Macaca fascicularis: one gene and its partner. The protein of the gene in region 2 purifies or fractionates together with the protein of the main gene of each other region. This does not show direct contact. Links are inferred from orthologs where the notes say so. Each region holds a gene or a part of one and is shown on either strand. Other genes may lie near its edges.

Evidence for each region.
Region 1: the proteins of EPC2 (region 2) and MBTD1 purify together in Homo sapiens (affinity purification with mass spectrometry; 3 studies listed by BioGRID and IntAct, with this or other methods). This does not show direct contact. The link is inferred for Macaca fascicularis from reciprocal best matches to the Homo sapiens genes EPC2 and MBTD1.

Annotation. Positions count from the first base shown.
Region 1 is NC_088390.1:55,519,166-55,522,665, reverse strand, and holds part of MBTD1 (MBT domain-containing protein 1), read right to left. Parts: intron 1,313-3,500; coding exon 1,121-1,312; intron 1-1,120. UniProt on the Homo sapiens protein: Chromatin reader component of the NuA4 histone acetyltransferase complex, a multiprotein complex involved in transcriptional activation of select genes principally by acetylation of nucleosomal histones H4 and H2A.
Region 2 is NC_088386.1:44,214,531-44,218,553, reverse strand, and holds the start of EPC2 (enhancer of polycomb homolog 2), read right to left. Parts: upstream 2,801-4,023; 5' UTR 2,533-2,800; coding exon 2,380-2,532; intron 1,834-2,379; exon of another isoform or gene 1,619-1,833; intron 1-1,618. UniProt on the Homo sapiens protein: May play a role in transcription or DNA repair.

The DNA of each region.
Region 1 (3,500 bases), on a different chromosome or scaffold from region 2:
ATTTACAATCCTAATTAGTTTTTCATACAAAAGTAGTAGTGTAATTTCCTCTGGATGTAAGAATATCACAGTGATCTTCAGAGAAACAGAGTGGGAAGGGGGCAAGGTGGCCTAATACATTGTGAAGGAGGGAAAAGCTAAAGAACGTATCCTAAAATGGCAAAGAAAACCCCCAAACAACCAACAACGGAAACAAACAAGAAAACCCCCATAGGTGCAAAAATATTAGCAAACAGAAGAAGAAGAAAACAGAGCTAGGTAACAAAAGTCTCACCTAGGTTTTCAACATACAAGACATTTTAAAGAATGCTGATTAGAGAAAACAATTTAGTCTAAAAGCAATAGTTAGCATATAGCAGAACACATGCCAAAGCAGGTATAACTTTGGCTTTGAAGCTGTATGATCTGATCTGTACTCAGGCCTGAAGTTCATCATGCCTAAGTGAAGTCCTCATACCCTATGATAATACCATGCTTGTTCTTAGTAATTAAAAAGGGCAAAGCCTTCTGTAGTCTTCCTTATAATCTACTACCTTGGCCTAACCAATTAAACTCAAATCAAATGCCACTGACTACTTAATCACTATACATACATAATCATGAACTTATGGAAATAAAAAAATTACGCAGGTATTCAATTTCCAAATTTGTTATTCAACTAAGATTGTGATCAATGTTACTGCCAAAACTAAAATTAAACTGGAACTGAAAACACATCCTTTCCATGAATGAGACACTATGAAATGTTATGAACAAAGCCTTTTCTGTCTTTTTAATCGGACTTATCCCTAATGACACACTTTGTTCCCAGGTCAAGTCACATACAATTCTGCAATGCGGAATGTTAAAAAACCATGAAATATTCCAAGTTGTCTCACAATTCCAACTACCCTTATTTGAAGCTCGGAACTATTTTATAACAAAGTAAAAATCCTTCCCTGACGTTTGGTCTTAGTGAAGTGACTACTAAGGACTAGTGAAATGAATTCTTTAGTTGAAAGAAAAAGAAAAAAAATCCAATGAGTCAGCATCTGTCATGCCAGACCATGCTTTGTCTCCCACCACCCTACCCAGTACTTTTACCCTCTGAAGTACCTGAGATGCTGATGTGACTAATTACCTGTTTTGAGGCTGGGACTGAACTCTCGGCTAGTGCTGGGAGGTGGGAAGGCCTCCGGGGCTGTCTGTGCTGGAAGGGTTCGATATGGAGGAGGAGTCAACTCTTCGTCACCAGAGAAGCTCCTCCGCACCCCACCTGTCATGGGCAGGCTCGACAAACTGACAGGCTTCTTCCCAATTGGCATCTTCCTCTCTAAATATCAAGTCAGACTAAAGTAAGCTTTCACTTACATGTGTGGTAAGAAAAGTGCATTATATAACTAGGAAAGCTGTGCTGCACAGGACACTCTGAAAAGAGAACCAATTATGCAAAGTTTGTATTTCTGAAAACAAGGAAGAGAGAGTGAGTGTGTGTGTTGGGGGAGATTGTTTCTACTCTCTGAGAGTCTGGTAATACTAGTTCTGACTCTCAAATTTAAAACAAGACAAAGTAAAATGAATTACAGAGAGCTTTAAGAACAGCTGGCTAATTTCTTTCAAGAACATCTCTGCTTGAGATGGGGTAAAAACCCAAAGGAAGAAAGAAAGCATCTTAAAACACTACTTTTAGGGTAGCATTTCATAGCTCATATAAGCCCAAACACTGGTTGGAGAAATCAAAGTAAAACAGTTTAAATGTATTATCTGGGTGTAGGATGTTATTGGTATGAAATGTGCTCCCCTAACTTTTTAGTTCACAATTCACTCTTTTAGAAAACACAATTCTTGTTCTAAAAAGTACTTCCAAATTCAAAGCTTACTGCCTGCACATTCTTAAGCAATCTGATTTCTTCTGAAACAAATTTATCAGGCTGGGCATGGTGGCTTATGCCTGTAATCCCAGCACCTTGGGATGCCAAGGCAGAAGAATGAGGATGGTTTCAGGCCAGGAGTTTAAGAACAGCCTGGGCAACAGAGTGAGACCCATCTCTACAAAAAATAAAAAAAATTAGCTGGGCAATGCCAGAGTCTGAGGTGGGAGATTTGCTTGAGCACAGGGGTTCAAGGCTGCAGTGAGCTATGATTGCACCACAGTGCTCCAGGCTGGGCAATAAAGTGAGACCTTATCTTAAAAAAAAAAAAAAAGTATCACACCCTTCAGCTATAGTTTCCTATACAAATATAATCCTTTCAAGACACATATAATGCTTTTGCCAACCAAAAAAAAAATACTCTGAACTCTGCAAATATTGAAGAATCAAGTATAGTACATTAATCATATTGAAAGTTGAAGGATCAGCAGGGTACAGTGGCTCATGCCTGTAATCCCAGCACTTTGGGAGGCTGAGGCAGGTGGATCACTTGAGGTCAGGAGATCAAGACCAGCCTGGCCAACATGGCGAAACTCTGTCTCTACTAAAAATATAAAAATTAGCAGTGAGTAGTGGTGCATGCCTGTAATCCCACTACTTGGGAGGCTGAAGCAGGAGGATCACTTGAACTCGGGAGGCGGAGGTTGTGGCGAGCCAACATTACACCACTGCACTCCAGCCTGGGAGACAGAGCAAGATCCTGTCTCAAAAAAAAAAAAAAGTGGAAGGATCCTTATCTTTGTGACTGAGTTATGTCTGTTTTCTTCCAGATGATAGAATAAACCAAGTAAGAGCAATAAAAAATTACGCTTCACAAAATCAAAACTAAAAGATAATAAGCCACACAGTATTCCTATGTAAAATGATGTGGGATTTAAGCTGTTATTGAGTAGATTCAATTCTCAAGAGCCAAACCAAAATCACATGCAGCAAAAACTTCAGACTTTTTCCTAATATACTACATACTCAAGAGATAAAAACGCAAGGAGTAATGTCCAACTCTTACTACTTACAGTAGTCCCTGAAAATGGTGAGATTTAAAGCAGAAACCAGTGCTGCTTTTCCCGCTCTAGAATTACCACATCTTAAGGAAAAGAGGCTTTTGAGACTAGAGAGTGTGTATGATCCTTGTGGCAGAACCTTATACTTATTCTCAAAAGTGTTAGTAATTATCCATCCTTCGTGGCATGAACACAACCTACTACAAAGCAAGCTAGACCAATGAAGCTCATCAGCTGTTTCTGCACAATAAGCACTACCAAAGAATATACCACTAACAGATGATCTTAAGTTCAAAAAGACCAACAAGCTATACGATGAAACAACAGAGCCAGAATATGATAATTTATCAAGGCAAACGTAAAAACAAACAAAAGGTTTTATAGCCCATCTGATATTGATATCAGTTTGCCTGCAATGGATGACAGGTTTCTAAACCCCAAATACTTATTTGTGTAACTAAAGCTTAGTGAGAAAACTTTCTAACAAACTGTTTGCTGACTAATAGAAAAAAATAAGAGGAGGCGGCACCATGAGTGAAAGCTGCTGCTTGATGCGGCACTACACTTCCTTATCCTCAATTCCAACATT
Region 2 (4,023 bases):
TAATCCCAGAACTTTGGGAGGCCAAGGCGGGTGATCACCTGAGGTCAAGAGTTTGAGACCAGCCTGGCCAATATGGTGAAACCCCAACTCTACTAAAAATACAAAAATTAGCTGGGCGAGGCAGTGGGCTCCTATAATCTCAGCTACTCAGCGGGGCTGAGGCAGGAAAGTCGCTTGAACCCAGTTGGCAGAGGTTGCAGTGAGCCGAGATCACGCCAATCCAGCCTCGGCGACAACAGGGAAATTCCATCTCAAAAAACAAACAAACAAAAAAATTGCAACACGAGTTAAGCACTTTTATATTTTTAATGAAGCATGAAAAAGTTACTCTGTAAGTAATCTTACTAAATTAAGATAAAATACCAAAACATATGCGGCATACTAAGGACCATATATGTTGGTGATTGCAAAAAGTAATATATCTTCCAGGAGTTAACTGTTCACTCTAGAACAGATTTCCTTATTTTTGAGATGGAGTCTCGCTCTGTCGCCCAGGCCTGAAGTGCAGTGGCATGATCTCTGCTCACTGCAACTTCTGCCTCCCGAGTTCAGGCAATTCTTCTGCCTCAGCCTCCCGAGTAGCTGGAACAACAGGCGCGCACCACCGCGCCCGACTAATTTTTAGTAGAGACGGAGTTTCACCACACTGGCCAGGCTCGTCTCGAACTCCTGACCTCATGATCCGCCAGCCTCGGCCTCCCGAAGTGCTGGGATTACAGGCGTGAGCCACCGCGCCTGGCCTAGAATAGATTTCTTGACTCAAGTTCTAAAATAATAGGATCCAAGTAATTACACACAATACTGGTACTTTTAAGACCATCTTTCTTTTGGATCAAGACCCACAAAATAGCAAAAATATCCAAAGTTGTGCTTATTAGGGTTCAATGCAATTAACTATTGTACATAACATAATTTTACCTTAATTTTCCTTCCCATGGAAAACTGAGTCAAGTTTGAAACAAATAAAAGAGTTCTCACATACAAAAAAAAGTTCTCACAGCTCTAAACCTTAGAGATAAATGCTGTTTTGATGATATATATTTATATCTATGCACACACATATGTATATGTGCATGTATATATATGTATTACATATACGTTTGTATACACACACAGTTAAGTTCATCCTGATACTACGGCCATATTCATTTTCTACTGAAAATATAAGACTTTCAAGTAATCAAAGAGAAATGTGATTAAATCAGAGCAAAGTAGTAATAACAGGGTAACACAGTGAGGTCAGAACTCGACCAGCCAATCAAAGGCATAAAAGCATTTCCTGCAATATTAATAGTCAAAAGAGAAAACCAATCACGGAAACCTCGAGCTTCCTTTTGACAGCCACAGAAGCAAGAGAACCAATCCACACACACCCGAGGTTGACAATAAGGCGGGACTGCAGGTTCATTGAAGAAATTCTTGAGGGTGCAGTTACTATGAACTTCGCAAGCAAGTAACACCACTCGAGTCATAAACACTCTCTGTTAAGCCAGATATTCAACCGTCTGCAAAATTTAACCCATCGGAGAAAAAGCAGCAGTTTTCCCAAAAGGTGCTGTATTATCAAAATTACAACTGCCAATTTAGATGCACTAAGTCCTCAACTTCTAAGGATCACCTCGCAATGACAATTCTCGAGGACAACGCTACGCCGGCAGCTCGCTCCGGGGCATCCCCGGCTCCTCTCTAACACTGCGCACGGAGCACGGCCGTCTCGGCGAAGCTGTCAGAGCCCGTCCACCCCGCGCCCGGCTCGGGTCGGGTCGGCTGAACTGGCCGGCGGGCGGCTCTCGGACGCTACTACCCGGTCGGTAGTCGTGGTCCCCGCCCTCCCCCGCCGCAGTGCTGTACCGCCTCATCCCGCTGCACCGTCGCGGGCGGGGAAGCCAGGATGATTACACTGCTGGGAGGAAGATGTTTGTTTTGAAAGCGCCCTTCTACAGTCATTTCAAAGAGAACCCAATACAAAATTTAAAAGTGGAAAAAATAATCATCTTGCCTAGCCAAATAACACCCCGCCATTAATTAGCCCCGCGCCTGGGGGAGGGAGGTGGGAAGGTAAACAGAGACCGTACGCCAAGTGCGGCCAGCGCATCCCCTGCGCCATTCCCGGCCGCCGCTTACGGCAAGGCCCCCTTACGGCAGCGTAAGCAGCGCTGCGAGCTAATCACAACACTGGGACGCAACAACATGGCGGCCGCGGGCGGGCGCTACGCCAGCCGAGAGGGTTTACGCTACTCCGCCGGCGTAGAGTCCCGTGCGTTAGAGCAGCAGCGGCGCCCTCCAGCGAGCGTAAAGCGCTCTGTGAATGGCGAGGCCCGACTGACAAAGGGGAGGGGGGAGGAGGGAAGGGGGGGTAATAAACACTCGAGTCCCTACCGATTCCTCCTCCTTCTCCATCCCGGTGGGCATCTGGGGCACGGCCCGGTTGATGGAGACGCAGTCGTTGAGATCAGGCATGTCCTTGCCGCGGTAGATAGGCAGCGGCTTGGCGGCGTCCAGCGCCCGCGCTCGGAAGGAGAGTTTACTCATTGTCTCCCCGCCTTACAGGAACAGCCCGGGCGGCGGCGGCGGGGCGGGCGGGGAGGGGGGGAGGACTCCCGCCGCCTCCTCCACCTCCTTCCTCAGTGCAGCGCGGCCGGCCCGCTCCTCCTCCTCCTCACTGCCCCCGGCCACAGCATGGGCGCCCACCCCGCCCGAAAACAGCCCCCCGCCGCCCGCGGCCGCTTCCACACACTAGATCCGCCGCTCGCCCGCCCGATCCGCTCCCTGCGCCATGGCCAACATGGCGGACATTACCACAGCGGCGGCGAGCGATCCCGGCAGCCCGCGCGAGAGCGCGCCCCCGCCGCGGGAACGCGCCTCGCCCTCTCCCTCCCTCCCTCCTTCCTCTCCCTTCCCCTCCCTTGCCTGCCCACCCACTCTCTACGCGGCGCTGCCGGCCCGCGGGAGCGTGCTGGTCTCGGTCCGCTCCAGGCAGAGGGGGCGGCTGCGGCGCCCCTCCGCTCGCCGGCCGGTGCTTTCGCTGTGTGGCAGGTGCCAGGTGCGCAAGTTCGCCCGCGCCCGGGAGCGTGCGCCTCTGCCTCCGCCGCCCGGTCATCCCTCTCGCTGGGTGTCCCGCAGGAAGGCGCCGGGCAAAGACTGCTGCGCTGAGCAGCGCGTGTGTGCAGAAGTCCGGGAGCGGGAAGGGAAGATGTCGACCCGGACCCCACTAGCCATCACCCAAGCCTGTACTCGGACAGCGCTTATCCCCCAAGGCGCCCTGAGCGCAGGCTAATTCGCATCCTCCGAGGCGCTCATCCCGGAGAGGTGCGACAGGTCTCTCCCATCACTCTGCTCCGAGGGGCGCCGCGCTGCTGGTGCCAGCCCTCTCCGCCGCCCTCCCCTCCGTACCTGTCCGAAAGAGCTCTCCAAGGTGCAGCAGCGCGCTAGTCCTCGGCTTCGCGAGGAGGACGCTCAGGGCAGCAGTAAGGGTTCATGGTTTGAGGCTGCCAGATGCAACAAGTGAACTTAGGTTCCCTGTCACCGAAACTTCGGTACAGCTGTTTAGTGGATGGTAGGTATTTCTCTGAGTTCAAAAATAGTAGCTTTACTAAAAGTTCAGCTTCTAAAAATTTAACCAAGGCAGCACACATTTGCGAAGTAGCAGATGTGTGTCAAATGTGGGGTGCTGTGGAAGACTCGAAGAAGTCTGAGAAAAGGTTCCTGCCTCAGAGAGCTTTCACCGTAATGGAATGCCAGGACTGCTGGAAAGATGAGTAACAGTAAGAGATGTAAATAGTTAAAGAAAATGACAGCTGGAAAGATAAATGACAACCGAAAAAAAAGTGTAAATATTTTAAGAAAACAATACAAGAGATGACACAGGCAGTAAGTAGGACATGATTAATTACCAAACGAGATCTAGGCAATAATTGTGAGAGTTCAGAGAAAGGAGGCATGACTACAGCCTAAACAGGTTAGAGAAAGTTCTCAAGAGGAGGGAAAATCAAGGTGACTCAAATAAGTACTAGCTATTGTTGA